Drosophila melanogaster: one gene and its partner. The protein of the gene in region 1 interacts with the protein of each later gene in a pairwise test. Each region holds a gene or a part of one and is shown on either strand. Other genes may lie near its edges. The genes, in order: CG7102 and GABA-B-R2.

Region 1 (9,961 bases):
AATGGCATAAGTTATATATTTTAATTATTTAAGCATGCAGCAACAAATCCGCGTCTTGTCAAACTACAACATATATATTATTATATGTCTGACGATTCAGAATGCAGAAATAAAATGTACAAATTGTGGAGCAAATAGAAAATGTAGTGAGAATTTGGGAGATAAAGGAGCATGAGCGAAAATATAAAATGAAATGCACCACAAGCAAATAAAGTTTAATCAAATTAAACAGTTAATGAAAAAACAAATTTGAATTCAACGTTTCATATTTAAGTAGTGCAGAAACAAATAAACACAAAGGAAAACAAAAATAAATTATTACTTATGTAATGAAAACAAAAACAACAAATAAAAAAGCGATAAATATTATGCAAAATATATCAATGAAATTTTCTTTGCTACTTAAAAGTTGCTGGAAGTAATAAAATGAAAGTAAGTATTGTGGGGTAATTCTTTGTAGTAGAGTATATATTAACATTTTTGTATGTTTTTTATGTGTTAACCAAATTTGAAAAGAAACTGTAATTTTCTCTTCAATTCTTCAACAAAGTAGGAATACCAAATTCAACTAACTCTAGAATGCAACAACGAATGTAATTTTACATGATGTACAGAAAAGTGGGCACATGTCAAATTACCATGTTCTGTGAATGAACACTAGGTGTCGCACCACAGTTGTGAAGAATTTCAAAGTAAAATGAAGAAAGATCATTTAGGCCATATTCCTTAAGTTAACGTCTGAATGCATTTTAGATCCATTCATAATGGATTTTTCACGAGTCTATGATGAATCGAAATTCACTTTTGCAGGTATATAAATAGAGGCTGTCGGATTTCTTGCAGTTTTTAGCAATCATGCAGGGAAATAATAAAATAAAATATTTAGGTGAGTTCAAATATAAATGAAAGCACTCTTCTAACTCTAAACCTAATTGATTCAATGCTCTTGTCAAAGTTCTGCTTTTAATTGCCACTTCAGTGTTGGGTAAATTCAAGCTAAATCTTCTCGAACTTGTAATGGATAAGGCAGAAAGTAATTTTATTGCTTCGCCTCTATGCATCGAAATTGGAATAAGCATGATCTTAATGGGAGCTAAAGGAACAACCGCCGAGGAACTAAGAAGCGTTCTTGACCTACCAGTGGATGTGACAGAAATGGCCAAGAAATACGAAAGGATTATGTCTAATTTCCAAAAACATAATGGGCTTCGTTTTACAAATTGGCTTTATGTCAATGAGACATATGAAGTAAGGCAGGATTACAACACGTTAATGAAGAGCACCTTCATGGCAGAGGGCAAAGACCCGTTAAGTCAAAGAAAGGCTAGCAACAGTATCAGCTTTTCGATTCATCGGAAGAGTCACAAGGGCATGCGCACTATTTCTAATGATCATAACCTGCAAATTAATGAAAGTGCAGTGTTAGTTAACACCGTCTACTATAGCGGCGCTTGGAAAACTAGGTTTAGTAAAAAGGACACCAAGCTAAAAGTATTCCATGGAGATCATAATAAAAAAGTTTATGTCAGGATGATGTCCCATGTGGGCAGATTTAGGATTGCTGATCACTCTTATGGACAAATCATTGAGATGCCGTTTGATAACTCAGACCTGTCAATGATAATCGGTCTGCCATTGCATAACACATATCTAAGCTCTATTGAAAAAATACTTAGAACACTCTCAGAGAGCCTAGTAGAAAACAATGTTCATGTGGAACTGCCAAAGTTTAAAATCAAATATCAGACGGAACTAGTTGAATCCCTAAAAAAAGTGGGTAGGACCTGTTGAAAATGCTATCATTTTTACAATGTTTTAAGTTTCAGTTGGGCATACACCTTATCTTCAGCAATACCTCGGATCTCAGCGGCCTTCTGACCAACGGTACAGGTGCCAAAATTAACCATGTGGTACACAAATCCTTTATTGAGATCAACGAAAGGGGAGCATCGACAGGAGAAGCGTCAGACCACGCAGAGTCTATCCAAAGTACATTATGACTAATTTTTTTTATAGATCACCTCATCCACTGATTTCATCTTTTTTCTTTGCCAGAAAAAACAAGAGCATCGACGTCCTTTAAAGTCAATCGTCCTTTTGTCTTCTTGATTCGCGACAAGCATACCGTCTACTTCCGCGGACGCGTCGTTCGACTGCCTAACGAATTACATCTTTAAGGCAATGTTTTGTTTTCTAGTCACTTGAAACAACGAAGTTAAAAAATAATTAAACCCATTGCTTCTCTTACTGAACATATCTTAAAAATGGTATGAAAATTCCATTTTTGTAGAGAAACTGTTTTTTTACTTGAAAATATTGTTTAACAGCGTAGATAATGGATTTAATGTTCTATAACAAATCAGTGCTCTCGAAAACCTTAAATCATGAGGCTTTTACTTTTAGTTTCCAATGACCTTACTTGCAGAGAGTATAGCATGAAGTACTTGTGTGAGTAGCGCCATTTTTTCTAATCGCTCACCTTTGACTCTTTTCCTTTTCCAAAGGTTGGATCTTAGTGACCACGTCAGTGCTAGGTCAATTCACCAAGCAACTTTACCGAAGCTTTTTGCAGGATAATAAACAATATAACATCATTGCCTCGCCTCTTTGCGTCGAGATTGGAATGAGCATGATCCTCATGGGAGCGGATGGAAATACAGCCAATGAACTGAGGACGGCTCTGAATCTGCCAGAGGATAAAAAGAATGTAGCTACTATATATGATAAGCTTTTGACTAAACTCGAAAGGGGCAAGAAGGTAGCCATTCTCCACTTGGCGAATCGCTTGTTTGTCAACGAAACAATTGGTGTTAACAAGCGCTACAATAAACTAGTCAATAAGCACTTTAGGGCCGAGGCAGAAGCCATTAAGCTGGCCGATCGATTGAAGGCAGCCTGGGCTATAAACGATTGGGTGCTCGACCAGACACTAGATAATGTGAAAGACATTATAATACCCAGTGACTTGACGCCCGATGAAAGTGCGGTCATGATCAACGCAGCTTTCTTCAAGGGCTACTGGAAGACGCGATTCGATAAGATGAACACCAAGCCCAAGGTATTCTATGTATCCAAAAGTTACCAAGTAAATGTCAATATGATGTCGCAAGTGGGTCGATTTAAGATGCGTACTTCGACCATAGACCAAATTATTGAGCTTCCATTTGCATACTCAAACCTTTCAATGGTAATCGTTCTGCCCAAGGACAATGGGTCCCTAACTCAGGCAGAAGCCACAATCGAAAGTTACCCTCAGATAGTTCTCACTGAAATGGATGTACATGTGCAGCTTCCTAAATTTAAAATCGATTTCCGCATGGAGCTCGTCGAAACTCTTAAAAGCGTTAGTAGATTCTGCTCACCTTATTTAATATACTACATGTTTCTAAATTTGCAGATGGGAATACAGGATCTCTTCAATAGTTCGTCGGATATCAGCGTCCTACTGAACCAGTCTGGCACTAGAATCAGCCAAGTCGTACACAAAGCCTTTATAGAGATTGACGAAGAAGGCGGGTCCGCAGGATCCGCTTCTGCGAGCCCCATTCGAGGATTATCTGGTAAATTATGGCACATTTGTATCATGTTCCTGCTTGATTGCCTGTGGTATTTTTCAGATTATGCGACTAGTGTGGTTACTTTTACAGTCAATAGTCCCTTTGTCTTCATGATTCGCGATGATGACAACATATATTTCCGTGGCCGAGTCGTTGATCCTTTGAAGAAGAGCAATCCCATTGACCGTATAACCATATAGAATGTAACGGGTATCTAATAGTCGAGAAACTCTACACCATTTTATCTATTGCGCAAAGTGAATTTTTGCGAATACAATAAAGAAAAATTCGTCTCGTCCTTAATTAGTTTCATTCATAAATGAAAATTTCTATAGCATTCGCTATAAAAAGTCTCTCAAAAAAGATAACACTGAGAGAGAGCGGAATGGAGAAAAGCAAAACAAAAACTAATCCCGTTTACCTGCTTGGGAGAAACACTGAGAAAGATCCAAAAGAGCAACCTGTCCCAAGTCTCTTCTTCAGTCTTTAGCAAATCGTGATCGCGAGAAGAACGACCAGCGGTCAAAGAAAATCAGATTTCGCGGAGGAAAGGTCGAAATTGTTTGAAAAAACGCTTAGTTTGCAGCTGTGTAAAATAAATAGTGCACAATATTACTATTACAATAATATTTGTAGAAAAGTTATACCATTTAATCTTGTTGCAATTGTTTCCCAGGCCATATTGTTTGCCAAATCGATTGTGGCTTGGTGTCGGCCAAGAATTTTCAGCCAGGAACCGGTTTCTGCGCTCCCACGAATCCAGCGATTAAAAGAGAGAAATAAAGAGAGTTTCCAAGTTGAAAACATAAACAAACCCAATCGCAAAATAATAACAAAACCCAGTGCTTGCAGAGGGACAAGGCAACACGTGCACTTCTGCACGAATGATTGCAATTTTTTGAGCCCAAGAATACCGCACTTAATAATAAAAATCAATCATGAGTCTGCCCCAGTTGATCGAGGATCTGCAGCGCCTTTCCGAGGATCAGGATAGTGCAGATGTGGTATTCATTTGTGGCAGAGATGAGCGCATATATGCCCATAGATTAATGCTAATGGCTCGGTAAGTTAAATTGTTTTTTCAAACAAATACTTAAGAGATTAATAAATTTTGGTGATACCTTAAAATCTTATAAATGCCAATAACTGTATAATTTTTCTCTGTGGAATAAGATAATTGCCTACGGTTGCCTTTTTCGGAATCTTACAATGTTGCGTGCTGGAATCCCGGGTATTCCAGTTGGTCACTTAATTAATTTGTCTTGCCTTTCCATTCACTCAATTCGATTTCAGGTGCAAGAGCTTCAAGACTGCGAAGAGAGGTGAAGTGTGTCGAATTCCCGGATGCACAGTATCGCCAGCAGCCCCAGGAGCTTCAACTCCGACCACCATACGATTACCACACGTGAATCCGGAACTATTCAGGCAGTTCATCTTGTACGTTTACACCGCAAAGGTAAGAAAACTACTTATTAGTAACATCTAACATAATAAAATTATAACCAAAATTCATTTTTCAGTTGGTTCTCCAGGACTCGCAAGTATTTCAAATGATGATATTGGCACAGGATATCGGTGTGGTTGAGCTACGAACTGCCTGCGAGGATCACGTTATATCGACATTGTCGGTGGATAATGCCTGCACATTTTTAACCGCCGTTATGGATATACACGAAAAAGCAGGTTAGTAATATTGAGTAGCTCTTTTAGAAAATCACACCTTTAAAAGTAAGCAATTATGTGAAGTTGCATATTCGCGCCAAAACACTTTATACATTCTACATAATATGCTATGTCAAATGTATTGAGACTAACCATTCTGAAAGTTTTGGTATTTTTTGTACCACATCACATATCGATAAGAAAAAACATATGCACGTTGTGTTATCAGAATCACGTAACACGCAATGCATGTTTTTATTGCATTATCAAACTTTAGATATAACAACTAATCAATAGCTGGCAGATATAGTTAGTCCCAAGCTGCTCCAAAATGCAGAAGCCGATTCGTGTGTTTAGAACTTGGATTGTTCACGTTGTATTCTTTGGCCGTACACCCGAGAAATGAGGTTCCACGAGTCCATAAACCGGTCCATGCACATGGAAATGCATTTCTAAATTGGATATTAATGAAATACTATTTAAATACATATTCTATAGTGCAAAATAAGATATGTATAGCTTGCCTGTTCGGACGAATCGAGGGAAGTTCCCGGCTTATTGACACATTTTTTGAAGCACTTTTCGGTCATTTGCGTGAGCAATTCCTGGGCATTCGCAACAGCAATCTGTTGCTTAACCTGGTCCATAAGTTCACCTTTGTCCACATTAGCCATAGCCATTTGTTTGGTTTTCTTTATAAACTATAGTTTAATTCAGCTATGAATAAATGGCAACAACTTCTGCCCAACCACAAAAACTTAACAGTGCGATTGTGATAGTGTTTCTATCGATATGGTTATGCTACCAGAGGATTTACCATTTTGGTATCTTTAGGCTGGTCGATAGTTCGGTAGGCCGCGATTATGTGTGACCATCTGTGCTGTGCCATCGATATTTCTGCCTATCGCCTGGACGAAAAGAAGACGCCGGCAAAAAGAAGCGAAAATTTGTTTAACTCAAATTAAGTCGTCGGAAATCAGCAAAAATGTCGTTCAAAGGAAATCCCAAGGTGCAGAAGGTGATGGTGCAGCCCATCAACCTGATCTTCCGTTACCTGCAGAACCGGTCCCGCGTGCAAGTTTGGTTATACGAGAACATATCGCTGCGCATCGAGGGCCACATTGTGGGATTCGATGAGTACATGAATCTGGTGCTGGACGACGCCGAGGAAGTCTATGTGAAGACCCGGCAGCGCCGCAACCTCGGGAGGATCATGCTCAAGGGCGACAACATCACGCTCATACAGAACGTCAGTCCCACGAAGGACTAGGCGACTCAGCGGCCATCCTGCGAATCCTTCGAATTCCACCTGCAAACGCTGAACGCCCTTAATATAAGTAAAATAAATGTAAAGCCGATATCTGAAGACGAATGTTGAAATAAATGGTAGACTTTCTGTAATCAAGTGTTTCTAATGGGTAAGGTAGCAAATACGATCCGATTTCAGGACATATAGAATAGGATGCTGTCTCAAGGTAAAAGCCGTTGAGTGTCTTTAAAAAACAAGGAATTAATTTTAAACTTTCCCTTTAAATTTCAGGTGCCAAATGCGCTGCCTCGTTTATGGAACGCTGCATCATCTACATAGGGGAAAATGCAAATGAGTGCGTTAAGACTAATGCCTTCCTTACTTTAACAAAGGATGCCATTATTAAGATTATTTCCTCAGACTATGTAAGAGTTTATAATGAATAACCACTCAATTTACTGAATTTCTTTAATTACCAAAACTGTTAACTACCAATAGTTCTGCTTGGAAGAGGAGGAAGTGTGGCGCTGCGTTTTATCCTGGGCCAAATACCAGGCAGGAGTCACCCAACCCACTGCACATTGGACTGAGGAGGAGCGTGCTCGTGTCTGCCAACACTTAAGCGGTGTAATGGGTCACGTGCGTCTGCTTCTCATCGATAGCCAAGTTTTCGCGGAGGAAGTGGAACCTACAGGAGCTGTACCTATGGAACTATCCCTAGAACGATATCGCTATGCCGCTTTGCATGCCAATAAGATGATGGATAACGATAAGAGACTTCAGCCCCGCCTAGCTGTAGCGGTCAACATGTTTCCCGGATCCCAAATCCTGAAGAATGACAATCTGGCACTACAGACTGTTCTCAATAATTGGGTTGGAGTGGGCAAGCAATCCTGGAGATTAGTTTTCCGAGCGTCCACTCATGGCTACGATTCTGGAGCCTTTCATCGTTATTGCGACGGCGTGGCTCCTTGCATGGTTATTGGCTTGGGATCGCATGGAGAGATCAGTGGTGGTTATACGGATGTGGCGTGGGCCAAAACAAGCCGAAAGGGGGGATATGTTCAGTCCGAGCGAGCCTTCCTCTTTGCCTTGAATCCAGCCAATGGGGAACAGCCGGTCAAGTTTGATATTGTAAAGAAACCATATGCCATTTGCTATCATCCTGAGTAAGTGATGTCTAAAATAATCTTATATATTACATTATGTTTAGGAATTCGTACTGATTACCATGTCTGCTTTCCCCTTTAGTTGCGGTCCCATTTTTGGTGCTGGAGCCGATCTGCTCATTTCCAGCAACTGTAATACAAACATGGACTCATACTCGAATCTTCCGCATTCCTACGACGGAACCAACGCTGCTCACCTGACACTTTTCGGGGACTATAACTTTACCATCACCGACTATGAGGTCTATACCCTTTCCTCGCCGGCAGGAAGTAGTAATAGTGGAGCAAATCACAGCAATAATCAGAACCTGAACCACTCAACAAACGGCCAAGCTCCTGGGGTGCCCACAAAGGCAAAATACGATAGATACTAGAATTGGGGAAACAACTTGTAGTTGCATCAGCTATGCTGGCAATAAAACTATTTCCTTGAACGATCCAAACACTCGAATATTGTAATCCCAGATCCGCAACGGCTGGGCTAATGGCATTAGGTGTCGGGTTCATGACTCCGCCCAAGGTAAAAACCAGAAATCGAAAGGTAATTAATGAATTGTTATATAAAGAAAACTTTTTTTGGCGGCTGTCTTGAATTCCATCTTGATGCCAAGAATCGAACCAAATTAATTAACTGGTTTCCCAATTGTATGTAAAGCTGAAAGTGTTAGCAAAAATAAAAAACAAGAGGGCAGCTCCAATAGTTGGTAGTTTTCGCTGAATAAATACTTCAGCATGGTGCCTGGCACGAATGCTGTCACTTCAGCATTTTTCTTTGAACTATGGATTGCACAGCTTGGAAGTAGAGTTTTAATTACAACAAATTTTTAAAACATGACAATCTTGAAATTTCAAGGTTTCATTGCCCTTCTTTTTATTTCGAATATTTACTATTATTTACAAATATTTATTTCGATAAACCCGAATGACACCCTAAATTGTTCAAAACTATTTCAAACATTTCTTTTATCTGCGAAACAATATATTTCCCTTCGGCACGTTCATTAACCCATCACTTAACTCTTGCAGTCACTACTCCATATTGTTACAAATATATAATAGTTATGAATGTGCACTTGAACCTGGTCCACACCTCTTAAATAGTGGAACAATTGACAAAGAAAAACAAATGCGTAAATGGCAATTTCAGTTTGCTGTTTCAGTTCACTTCAGTTGGGCTTATAAGCCATAACAATAATATGTCGGCTAATGTTGAGCTACAATATAATGAAATGTGCGGCAACACCTCCCTAACACCCGCCGTCGGAAATGCTGAAGTTGCTCTCGACTGGTTTTCAACTACTTTTCAAAATGCTTCTGATAAATTGGTCCACGCTCTAAATTGGTTCTAATTAAAGCTTTTTTTATGCTGATCGAATCGATCAACATCGGTGGCTTGGGCCCCCACATTTTTGTCATTCGTTTCGATCCGGGGATTGGACATCCGAAACCCCGAGTAAAAACCTAAACAGAACCCTCGACAATGGCAGCCAGCAACAAACACTTGATGTTTGTGGCGTTTTATTTTATTGTGGCTGCACAACGGATTGGCAGTCAAAATTTGTTAACGACTTAAGGCCACAGCTCGAGAGCCACCTTTCGATAAGGTCTACAAATTGTTGCCGGCGCTGTTTCACTTCTCTTTGACAGACCCCGGGGGCGATTTAATGTCCAGGTCCAGGCGCTAGAAGGAATGTCATTTATAGATCTCGATTCAGTTCGATTTCGCGTCAAATATATTTGATTGTCGAGTGGTTTCGGATTGGATTTTGGAGCCATGGATTCGTTATGCGCCATGTGCCAGCCAACAGCAAAATCCGACCAAGAAGTTTCAATGTCTGTCGCATGAAAAGGGAAAGGCAAAAAAAAAAAATATATAACTAACGCTTAAGTAATTTTTTCGTTTGAACTGATCTATGCGCAAACTTGTTCTGGCCTTATGAAATCGGTTCGGTTCAAATTGCATCTGGGCTTGCAGCGTTTGAAGTGAGAGACTAGGGACGGGCAGGAAGTGCCAGTGTTTTGGATGAATCATTAGCTTCCTCATATGGGAAAAGCTAGAAACAGTTTTAATGGTTCTTCTGGGGAAACGGAAGACAGCCAGGGGTGCCGTGAAGGATAGGAAGTTAATATTTTTGAAATATAAAACGTTTCCGATTTAGACAATTAAAATCCATTCTCTAAATTTGGTATAGATTTGGTGATTTATACACACAGTTTACATTCAAAGTTTTCTTTTAATATGTATAAACATTAAGCCAATTTTTTTATTTTATAGTTCACTTTCCGTCCCTGGCTTTTATGAAAATATGCGATATTTGTTGGGC
Region 2 (11,464 bases), on another chromosome or scaffold:
CATGGCCAATTAGAGCGCGCTTATATTATCGCCCGTTTATGGAGTGGAAAACAAACACGGCGGCCCTGCAATTATTGCTGTTTAGTTAACCCCACTGTATCGCAACTACTGCACTGGCTATAAAATATAAACAAACCACCGAAGTAGCTTGCTGTAAAACTTTCCGGTTTTAGTCTAAGTGAGTAATGAGTTCGGATGGTATAGCGCTGTTTGTACTTGCTTGTCATCAATATGCACATTGCAATCAAGAGTTATCTAGTCACTTGAATAAATTATTGTGGGATAGATATGCCTCATTATTGTTAAATTGCGAATTTTATAAGAGATCGGAATAGGTTGCGTTTGTTTCAATCAATAATATTTTATAGCAAGGGATTATATGGATATGGAATATGGAAACGTTTGCCTAATTCAAGTGTAATCGCTTTAAATTTGCAATATAATATTTCTATTATAATCCTCTATAGATCTAACCTTGAATGCTGAGCGATGCGGTCGTGGCCTGGCCTTTTCTGGCTGCTGACCCTGGCGCTCCTGGCGGATGGAGGTCGTCGCGAGTCCCAGCTCCGGATCGGCAAGGCCATCAATATATTCCTGCGCTATGGCTACCTGGGAATCTCCATGCGTGTGATACCGCTCAATGACAACTCGGAGCCGGATCGCTGGGTGTTTAAGGAGCCCACCAAAAACATCTATAGGGTAAGGGACTTAAGGCAGAGTTAAGCTTACATTTAATAAATTAAATGGCGTTGATGAACTCGGAATTGTTTGTATTAACCTTTAACCACAATCACCATAATTATTTGGAGTATAATCAAAATTTTAAAATAGGGTTTAAAGTTGTTATCACTTAAAACTATTTTTAGTTGTAATTATATTGTTCACTTCCGCCACGTTTGTCGTTAGAATGAGCGCTTATTATATTTGTTTGATCAGATTTAGGAAAACGATCATTATATACGATTATTCAAGTATGTCACTTGATATTTATTACCTGATAATTGAGCTGACTAGACAATTAGATAATTAATGATTTTTTTCTTTCAGAATCTGAGTGGCCTGGCGGAGAGTCATGAAGACACCACGCCCGGAATCTTTCATGGAGACTTTCACATGGAGTTCTGCGAGAATCGGAGGCAACTGTTCCAGGCCTACTTCCGTGACTTTTCCATTGAGCGAATGGACAAACCGTGGGAGGCATTTACTGGCGGATGGTTTCCGGATAATGCGGCCAAGAAGCTGGGCATCAATACATCTTTCATCCAAGGCGATTACTCGTATGTTTTGGTGAGGGTGGTGCGCTTCAGGGAAACGGGGCGTCTTAACGCTGAGATTCCGGTGCACCAACCCTTGGAGCCGGATGTGCGATCGAGAATGGATCAACTGCAAATCGGAAATATAACTTCCGCAGTGCGATTTATGGAAGATGTGGGCACCCACTACGTAAACTCATACACCACCGGCAATTCGCTGTATCAGGTGTTTGTGTACAGCAGGAAGAACTACAGCATGATCAAGGAGCGAATCAAGAGTAAAGGTCTGAACGGACTGTCCAAGTTGGATCTTTACAACTACTTTGCGCCCTGGTTTGCCGCCCATCTGGGCCAGATTCGATCGGCTAGTGCCAATGCTACAGTGGAAAGATGGGCGAGAAGGAAGCTGCAGTACGAGTACTATGTGGTCAAGTATGTGACCCTGCTGAAACTGCACGGTAATAGTACTCTACTGCGATCCCTGGACTCGCTGCTCGGCAACGATGCCATACTGCAGTTGGACCTCAAGTCGCTGAAGCCCATCTTCCGGGAGGAGCCGGAAAAGGAGAGCTGGTACCACGAGGTTCTCGACAACAATGTGAAGCTCTGGGAGCTTAACATGCCGCAGAGTCATCCCACCCGATAGCTGCATTTTAAATATATATATACTGTGCGATATGTGGCAGCCAAGGATCAATAGTTCCTAGATGCTTAGTTGTAGTTAGGAACCTCTAGTGCGTAGTTAATGTTCTGCCTGTGATAGTTTTAGGTAGTTTAATTGGAACACAGTACACATCCGACTTGCATTTCAGCTAACTAGACCGTAAGATCGCCTTATTGATGTAATAGTTTTGTAAACTTTAATACAAAGTAAAGATAAAAGTAAAAATCTTACTGTTTTCATAACTTGATATTGGCTATTAAAATCTAACTGTTTTCATTACGTAATATTGGCTATGAATATCAAATACTATTTTGAAAGTTTATTTTGAATAATTGATTTTGATTAAGAACCGGTAATCGAAACGGGTAAACGGCTCTACCCGTTTCATCAAGGCTTTCAACCAGACTTATTCTAGTTTTCCACCCTTACGTATTTAGTATATGAATCAAGTATATTTTTAATACCGTGTGGTATATTTCAAACGGTTCAGTTACGCTCATACTGAAATCCGAAATAGCACGTGCGGTTTTTGTATTTTGATTTTGATTTTGGGTGATATATACTGGCATGGATATTTTTTCCAATTGTCCGGGCTTTTGCCCCTCCTGCGGCTCCATTCTGCCCGAGCTTCAAGTCAAGGGCAATGTGATTTGCTACAACTGCAAGAAGGAGTTTCAGCCAGATGGTAAATCCAGAAATTACAACTTTGTTTAATTTATTTAACACTTAAAAATAGTTTACAGCGGCGAGAAGTCCGAGTTTACCATACACTTCAACACCTACGATCCCAGCAAGGTGTTCAACAGGACGAAAAGGGAGTCGGAATCGGACGCGGATGGCCCCGTTGTGGAGAGGAAGTGTCCCAAGTGCAACCACGACAAGATGTCCTATGCCACCCTGCAGCTTCGATCGGCGGACGAAGGCCAGACGGTGTTCTTTACCTGCCTTAAGTGCAAGTAGGTGTCCTGATAAACATATTCCTTCACTTCCACAACTAATCACACACATTCTACCTTGCAGATTCAAAGAATCCGAAAACTCTTAGTTGCTAGCAATGTCCGTGTAAATAGTCCTAGATTAATGAAAATAATCATGCTCGACGGCCTGAGAAATATAGAATTTACCAATTATAATACCTAACCGGTGTCAAACTTGAAGCAGAACCCACCTCGCTGGCCTTGAGTCGGTTTTTGGGATTGTAGACCACCAGATTCGAGACCAGATTGATTTCCACCGCATGTGTGCAGCTGGGAAACAAGTTGTCCCAGTGAATGCCCACGGAGTTGGGAAACCTACGTCAAGAATATTACGGATTAAGTAATCATAGACGGTAAGAATGCCTACCGTATCTTGCTGTAATCCGGCAGAGAAGTCAGCTCTGGCCACTGATTCAGACGTGGGCTGCCCAGAGTGCGAATGATGATGGCTAATTGCTCGATGTCGGTGGTTCCCGCAAACAGGGGCACTCCGCGTAGCATCTCCGCCACAACACAACCTGGATAGCAATAATGTCAGCCATAAGGATATATGTAAACCCATCAAAGAGTCATGGCTAACCTGCCGCCCACATATCCACTCCGGTTCCATACTTCTGGCTGCCAAATAGAATCTCTGGCGCTCGATACCACCGGGTTGAGACCTGAGGCGAATAAAGGCGCGACTCGTCTTCAGGGAAGTACAGACGGGCCAGTCCGAAATCGGCAATCTTAAGCATATCTGTATCGCTGATAAGCAGATTGGCGGGTTTAATATCCCGGTGCATGAGACCCGCTTCATGCAGATATGCAATCCCCTTGAACATTTGGTGTGCAAACTTACGCACCTGCTGGCGGCTCAGGGGATTAACCTCGCTCTTGAGGCGGTTGTACAGAGTGTCCGGCTGGTATTCCAGCACCAAGGAGAGACCAGTTAGGTCAGGATATATATCAATGATGTCCAGAATCTACAATTAGTTACATAATTAACAAATGGAAAATAGATATATGGTATACCTACATATTCAGACTTGCAAAGCTGCAGGGTCTTGATTTCCCTCAAAGTATTTAGGGCTATGTTTCCGAACTTGTTCTTAAGGGCCACCTTCTTGATGGCCACCTCCTTGTTGCGCTGCAGATCGATGGCCTTAAACACGCAGCCATGGACGCCTTCGCCGATTTTCTCAAGCATTTTATAGCGGCTGGGCGCATAGTCCTCCATTATGGTTACTCACAATTTTCAATTTGGTAATTTTCCGAGCAGTTATCTACTTCGTTTTTCGACCCCAGTAGTCCATGGCAACGGGCACAACAATTGCCGGAGTACCAGCTGATGGGACCACCTGTTGCAGGATGTTTACAAGCGCAGTGGGTTTATGGTAATTACGGGGGTTGGAAAGCCTAGGCCAAGGCGGAGCAGTGACAGCTTTCGGTTTAAGGACATGCGCACTTCCTGCCTCGAATTCCTCCTGTCAGACAAATGTCAAGTCAGGGGGATACATAATTTTTCGGACCCTCGCACTGCAAAAGTTCTTCGTTGGCTGAGATTTGATGTAAAATAAGTGTTTCAAATGGCATCGGTAGTGAAATAAAAGCCAGTTCTGGGACTAAGCAAGCTGGTAGGTTCCTAAAAACATGTACACATAAGATTTAAGAGGATGCAACACCTGGAAGATACTCCTTCGCGTTAACGAGCATACTAAATAATGCACGAATCCTTTAGATCATTAAATTGCTTTATAATTACTAAACGTGCCAGCATTGCTGCAGCAATTTGAAGCAATTTTGCTGGCCTGGACTGGCCTTAGCCTTGCTCCACCTGTCCTGTAAAATTGCATGCGAGTGCCAGCAAACACAGGTAGAACGTAGAAAATAATACACACCCACTGGGCGCAGCCTTGCCTCGGCAGCCTTGGCTCACCCGAAACCAACCACTGCCATTCACCACCCACAACTTGGCTCCAAGTTCACGTCCTCGATATGCGCTATTCACATTTAGAATCGTTTTACAGCCCACGCGGTCAACATGTTCCGGCCAAGTTGGTTTCCATTCGCCAGCCTGCTGTTCCTGCTCCTTTGGAGCACCGCCTGTGGCAGGACAGCCAAGAGATCGGACGTCTACATAGCGGGATTCTTCCCGTACGGGGATGGCGTGGAAAACTCCTACACCGGTCGGGGCGTTATGCCCAGTGTAAAGCTCGCCTTGGGTCACGTTAATGAGCATGGAAAGATACTGGCCAACTACAGGCTGCACATGTGGTGGAACGACACTCAGGTGAGTTAGGGTTTAGCTTGAAGATTTCATTAAGTGAATCTCTGATGATGGACTTGTGGTTTTTAAAGTTCAATTAGGTATTTTTTTTAATGTTCATTGGTTCATATTGTAATATCACACCTTTACCTATGCATATTTCCATATATTCTGGAATGTAATTTTGGTTTCCTTTCCAGTGCAATGCTGCTGTGGGCGTAAAGTCCTTCTTCGATATGATGCATTCGGGTCCCAATAAAGTGATGCTCTTCGGCGCTGCGTGCACCCATGTGACCGATCCCATAGCCAAGGCCAGCAAGCACTGGCACCTCACCCAGCTCAGCTACGCGGACACCCATCCCATGTTCACCAAGGATGCGTTTCCGAATTTCTTTCGCGTGGTACCCTCGGAGAATGCCTTTAATGCGCCGCGACTGGCCTTGCTGAAGGAGTTCAATTGGACCAGAGTGGGCACTGTCTACCAGAATGAGCCACGCTATTCGCTGCCCCACAATCACATGGTGGCTGACCTGGATGCCATGGAGGTCGAGGTGGTGGAAACGCAGAGCTTCGTCAACGATGTGGCTGAATCATTGAAGAAACTGCGCGAGAAGGACGTGAGGATCATTCTGGGCAACTTTAACGAGCACTTTGCACGCAAGGCATTCTGTGAGGCTTATAAGTGAGTTGGATATACTAACTTAAGTCTCAATTTAAAATTATTGCAATAAACTCCCTTCCAGATTGGATATGTATGGCAGAGCCTATCAATGGCTGATCATGGCTACCTATTCCACGGATTGGTGGAATGTCACGCAGGACAGCGAGTGCAGTGTGGAGGAGATCGCTACAGCCTTGGAAGGTGCCATTCTAGTGGATCTTTTGCCCTTGTCCACCAGTGGTGACATCACAGTGGCTGGCATTGTTAGTACCAGTAAAGTCTATTAAAATTCTTGTAATAAATTTCATATTTTACTAGACTGCTGATGAGTATCTTGTGGAGTACGACAGACTGCGAGGCACTGAATATTCCCGCTTTCATGGCTATACCTACGATGGTATCTGGGCAGCTGCCCTGGCCATTCAGTATGTGGCCGAAAAGCGAGAGGATCTGCTAACACATTTTGATTATCGCGTGAAGGACTGGGAGAGTGTCTTCCTTGAGGCTCTACGTAATACATCCTTCGAGGGTGTGACGGTAGATAGATAAACAATCCAGTTTTTGCAGTTAAAACATATTTTACATTCTCAAGGGACCCGTGCGTTTCTACAACAACGAGCGCAAGGCCAACATCCTGATCAATCAGTTTCAGCTGGGACAAATGGAAAAGATCGGGGAATACCACTCACAGAAGTCACACTTGGATTTAAGCTTGGGAAAACCAGTCAAATGGGTGGGGAAAACTCCTCCCAAGGATCGCACTTTGATCTACATCGAGCACAGTCAGGTCAATCCAACCATATATATTGTATCGGCTAGTGCTTCGGTCATTGGAGTGATTATTGCCACAGTTTTTCTGGCCTTTAACATTAAGTATCGCAATCAAAGGTGAGCTTAACAATGCTATATTAAACAATTTCGTTTAATAAAATATTGATGTTTTTATAGATACATCAAGATGTCCAGTCCCCATTTGAACAATCTGATCATTGTGGGCTGTATGATGACCTATTTGAGCATCATTTTCCTGGGTCTCGATACCACATTAAGTAGTGTGGCAGCTTTTCCCTATATCTGCACAGCTCGAGCCTGGATCTTGATGGCTGGATTCAGTCTCAGTTTTGGAGCCATGTTCTCGAAGACGTGGCGGGTGCATTCGATATTCACCGATCTGAAGCTCAATAAGAAGGTGATCAAGGACTATCAATTGTTTATGGTTGTGGGCGTGCTTTTGGCCATTGATATAGCCATTATAACCACCTGGCAGATTGCCGATCCCTTTTACCGCGAAACTAAACAGTTGGAACCCTTGGTGAGTGCATTGATAGAACATATTTGAAGTGAAAAATCTAAAATGATTATTATTAACTACAGCATCACGAGAATATTGATGATGTCTTGGTGATCCCCGAAAACGAGTACTGCCAGTCTGAGCACATGACCATATTCGTTAGCATTATTTATGCCTACAAGGGACTGTTGTTGGTGAGTATATAATAAACATTAATTTGTAAGATATCATTATAATAAAGCAATAATTTTTTTCAATAGGTTTTTGGCGCCTTTTTGGCCTGGGAAACTCGACATGTTTCTATACCGGCTCTGAACGATTCCAAGCATATTGGTTTCTCCGTTTATAACGTGTTCATCACTTGTCTGGCCGGAGCGGCTATATCCCTGGTGCTATCGGATCGAAAGGATTTAGTTTTTGTCTTACTCTCGTTTTTTATCATTTTTTGTACGACAGCCACTTTGTGTTTGGTGTTCGTACCGAAAGTAAGACTGGTAGTAAGGAAGTTTTGTAGTTTTTGTAGCTGTTATATGTTACATATAATAATCGTGTAATATGAATGTTGTTTGTCGGCGGTAATAGGCCGATCAGTTGTGGTTAGAGCTTCTTAACTGATCGTACTTTACCGCCAGCTGAGCTGATCTTTCGTCTAGCGTTGATACACCTTGATACAGAAACAACATGTACTCGAAAACAGATCTTAAAATGCTATATAACACTACAGACTAACTATAAACTTGAACTATATAGAACCCACTAAGAGCAGCAGCAAGGTTGTAGGCAAATCCCACTTCCTTGCTGTTGGAATATCTTTAACTATCCTATATTACTGTCCGTAGAGTTGATCCTTCCTAGATGTTGACCGCGTAGTATAATCTTTGGTTAATATTCATGCGAATCGTTTTGCAGTTGGTGGAGCTGAAGCGGAATCCCCAGGGCGTGGTGGACAAACGCGTTAGGGCCACGTTGAGACCCATGTCCAAAAACGGACGCCGGGATTCCTCGGTGTGCGAACTGGAGCAACGATTGCGAGATGTAAAGAACACAAACTGCCGATTCCGAAAGGCGCTGATGGAGAAGGAGAACGAGCTGCAGGCCTTAATCCGCAAGCTGGGACCCGAGGCACGCAAATGGATCGATGGGGTGACCTGCACAGGTGGCTCCAACGTCGGTAGCGAACTGGAGCCCATACTGAACGATGACATTGTTAGGCTCTCAGCTCCACCGGTGCGTCGAGAGATGCCCAGCACCACAGGTGAGTGGCTAAGGAGGGGGATTTCGTAGATATGTTCATGCATTGCAACCCGTTTGTCATAGAAGTTACCGAGATGACGTCCGTGGATAGTGTGACCTCGACTCATGTGGAGATGGATAACTCCTTTGTGTCGGTGCAGTCTACAGTGATGGCGCCATCGCTTCCTCCGTAAGTTCTTAAATTTTGGTCTTAAATACACTCTAATCTATGGATATTCTCCAACAGCAAAAAGAAAAAGCAATCGATTGTAGAGCACCACTCGCATGCCCCTGCTCCAACTATGATGCAGCCCATCCAGCAGCAACTGCAGCAGCACTTACAGCAACATCAGCAGATGCAGCAGCAGCACCTGCAGCAGCAGCAACACCAGCAGATGCAACAGCAACAGCAGCAGCAGCAGCATCATCATCGCCATCTGGAGAAGAGAAACTCGGTGTCCGCTCAGACCGATGATAATATAGGCAGCATCACCAGTACGGCGGGCAAGCGGAGCGGAGGAGACTGCTCCAGCATGCGGGAGAGGCGTCAATCGACCGCCTCCAGGCACTACGACAGTGGCAGCCAGACGCCCACCGCCCGGCCAAAGTACAGCAGCTCGCACCGGAACTCCTCCACCAACATCTCCACATCGCAATCGGAGTTGAGCAACATGTGTCCACACTCAAAGCCCAGTACTCCGGCTGTGATTAAGAGTAAGTTTTCTGCGCGTCTCTTATAATACTATAATACTATCGATTTTCTAATCGAAAATAGCTCCCACTGCCTCCGACCATCGCCGCACCAGCATGGGCTCCGCTCTGAAGTCCAATTTCGTGGTTTCACAGAGTGACCTCTGGGACACGCACACGCTGTCGCACGCCAAGCAGCGCCAGTCGCCGCGGAACTACGCCAGTCCGCAGCGCTGTGCGGAACATCATGGCGGCCACGGGATGACCTATGACCCGAACACCACCTCGCCCATCCAGCGGTCCGTCTCCGAGAAGAACCGCAACAAACATCGGCCAAAACCGCAAAAGGGCACCGTTTGCCAGAGCGAGACGGACAGCGAACGGGAACGAGATCCGCCGCCCAACAGTCAGCCGTGCGTCCAGCCGCGTAAGGTCAGCCGGAGCTCTAACATCCAGCACGCCGCCCACCACCACAGTTCGCCCAATGTGGCGCCCGATAAGCAGCGGAGCAGGCAGCGCGGCAAGCAGGATAGCAGCATCTACGGCGCCAGCAGCGAGACGGAACTGCTCGAGGGCGAGACGGCAATTTTGCCCATCTTCCGGAAACTCCTCACCGAGAAGAGTCCCAACTATCGGGGCCGCAGTGCCGTGGGCCAGAGCTGTCCGAATATATCCATCAAATGCGATATCGTCGAGTACTTGTAGGCGGCGCGAGTCATATGCATTATGCCGTAGTTAAACTCCTATTGTTAGATCCAGTTGCAGTGTAAAGATTATCTTTGTTTTCTTTGGAGTTACGCATCTACATACATACCCTGTGAAGCAGGACACACACCATTTAGTGAACTAGTAGCAATGACATGAGATAGTTGGGAAATAAATTACAATTTAAAATAATCATATATCTGCTGATGTTTCCCTTTCACTGGCATGAGCTTTCAGAGGCACATTTTTCACTGTGTACAAGCAGAAACGGCAACTCTAATTTATTTTAATGAGCAAATGGGCATGGGTATGAGTGCTAAACTGATGGGGGAATCTATTGCAGAGCAATGCGCCGGAAGTGATTGTTGAGTGGACCCTCGTCCGAATAGCCGGCAATTTCCTGTGGTATGATGCCAGACTCCTCAATGGAAGTGCATGGCCGACACATGCACTCCAATGGCGCCTTGGTCAGGACCTTCTTGAATTTACGCTCGCCGGGCTTCACTTTGGGACAGAATAGCGAGACGGCTGCCTCCCGCTCACCAGACTCCTGGCAGCACATGCAGGAACGCTCCATTTGCCAGATCTTACTGCCCGAAACCTAAAGTCATCAGATTATATCAAATTATAATTTATATTTCAAGTATATCAACACCCACCTGGATATAACTGGCACAGCGACCCACGCAGGCGAACGAGGGAATCGGCTTGGGCACACATCCAGGATACTGGAGCACATGGATGACGGGCGTCACCTGACAATCGTCGCCAAGATGCGTAATATCTGGATGGTAAATGGAATCCATTAGAGCGAATAATATGATATTATCAAATGCCTTATCAAATACCATTATCCGTGGCGGCCACAGAGCTATCCGGCTGTGCCGTGCAGAGTTTCAGAATGCTGACCAGGACGCAGTAGAGCAGGATCAGGACGAAGACCTTGTTGTTCTCGTGGCGGAGCAGGTGGCGCAGCATCTCGTCGGCCCGACTGCGAGTGTCCTTTCACGTGGAATGGAAAACGCCACTTGCAGCCGCCGGGCTTTTATAGACCAACTTGGCCAGCGGATGCCGCTCTAATGGCCGCTCGACAGCGTAAATTATGGCCTAATAAAGCAAGGGCCGTCCAAACCTTTTTGCCTAGTAATTGCGTACACGAAAAGGGCATTTCTCCCGCGGCGCACGACCACGGCAATCTCTTTATTTCCCTCACAACTTATTGGCTAATCAGGGCCAGGCCAACATGCTGCCCACTGCTAAAAGCAGAACCACCACCAAGGAAGTGGCTCCCAGGCAGGAGCTACCATTTCTGTCCGCCAGATATTTTACTAAGCCTTCCAAATGGGTTTCCGCCCAGTTAAGGTTTTTTTCCACAGTGACCAGGGACTTGGAGAGCAGCTCTTCCGATTCACCGAAGAACTGGTGATTGCTGTAGTAGAATTCCTTGAGCAACTGCTGTTGCTCCCGGGTGGTGAAGTACTCCGCCATGTCATTGATCACCTCGGCCGTGTCCCGACCAACTCTGGAAGCTGAAAAGCGACAAGGTTAAGTGTTCAATAAACAATCAAACCACACTCTCAGATGATCAAATTATGAAAAATAACTCACTTATACGCTAATTCCATAATGTTTTCGGTAATCATTTCGAAAATTGCCTGAACCAAGTCAGGATTCTCCTCGTACATACGGGCGATACCAATTTTCTTTTGTTCAACACTTTCCGTACCAGAGATGATCATCTT

What was found.
Region 2: the proteins of CG7102 (region 1) and GABA-B-R2 interact in a two-hybrid assay, tested with the Drosophila melanogaster proteins (one large-scale study listed by BioGRID).

Annotation. Positions count from the first base shown.
Region 1 is NT_033779.5:7,881,587-7,891,547, reverse strand, and holds CG7102 (uncharacterized protein), read left to right. Parts: upstream 1-4,034; 5' UTR 4,035-4,495; coding exon 4,496-4,620; intron 4,621-4,850; coding exon 4,851-5,013; intron 5,014-5,077; coding exon 5,078-5,240; intron 5,241-5,438; exon of another isoform or gene 5,439-5,572; coding exon of another isoform or gene 5,573-5,671; intron 5,672-5,743; coding exon of another isoform or gene 5,744-5,899; exon of another isoform or gene 5,900-6,045; intron 6,046-6,097; exon of another isoform or gene 6,098-6,204; coding exon of another isoform or gene 6,205-6,489; exon of another isoform or gene 6,490-6,618; intron 6,619-6,759; coding exon 6,760-6,893; intron 6,894-6,966; coding exon 6,967-7,637; intron 7,638-7,719; coding exon 7,720-8,011; 3' UTR 8,012-8,266; downstream 8,267-9,961. Other genes in the region: Spn28Db (serpin 28Db), read left to right, coding at 856-886, 956-1,773, 1,827-1,989, 2,056-2,177; Spn28Da (serpin 28Da), read left to right, coding at 2,436-2,448, 2,505-3,343, 3,398-3,560, 3,618-3,757; CG34132 (uncharacterized protein), read right to left, coding at 5,573-5,671, 5,744-5,899; small ribonucleoprotein particle protein SmE, read left to right, coding at 6,205-6,489.
Region 2 is NT_033777.3:21,768,787-21,780,250, reverse strand, and holds GABA-B-R2 (metabotropic GABA-B receptor subtype 2), read left to right. Parts: upstream 1-4,410; 5' UTR 4,411-4,510; intron 4,511-4,903; 5' UTR 4,904-4,917; coding exon 4,918-5,166; intron 5,167-5,342; coding exon 5,343-5,824; intron 5,825-5,885; coding exon 5,886-6,066; intron 6,067-6,121; coding exon 6,122-6,340; intron 6,341-6,395; coding exon 6,396-6,691; intron 6,692-6,751; coding exon 6,752-7,115; intron 7,116-7,177; coding exon 7,178-7,288; intron 7,289-7,354; coding exon 7,355-7,591; intron 7,592-8,003; coding exon 8,004-8,349; intron 8,350-8,411; coding exon of another isoform or gene 8,412-8,414; coding exon 8,415-8,517; intron 8,518-8,574; coding exon 8,575-9,041; intron 9,042-9,102; coding exon 9,103-9,722; 3' UTR 9,723-9,918; downstream 9,919-11,464. Other genes in the region: tsl (torso-like), read left to right, coding at 490-699, 1,048-1,899; Polr1H (RNA polymerase I subunit H), read left to right, coding at 2,485-2,602, 2,654-2,873, 2,938-2,962; CG6800 (uncharacterized protein), read right to left, coding at 3,038-3,209, 3,262-3,412, 3,475-3,859, 3,913-4,113; Burs (bursicon), read right to left, coding at 10,057-10,323, 10,382-10,506, 10,571-10,700.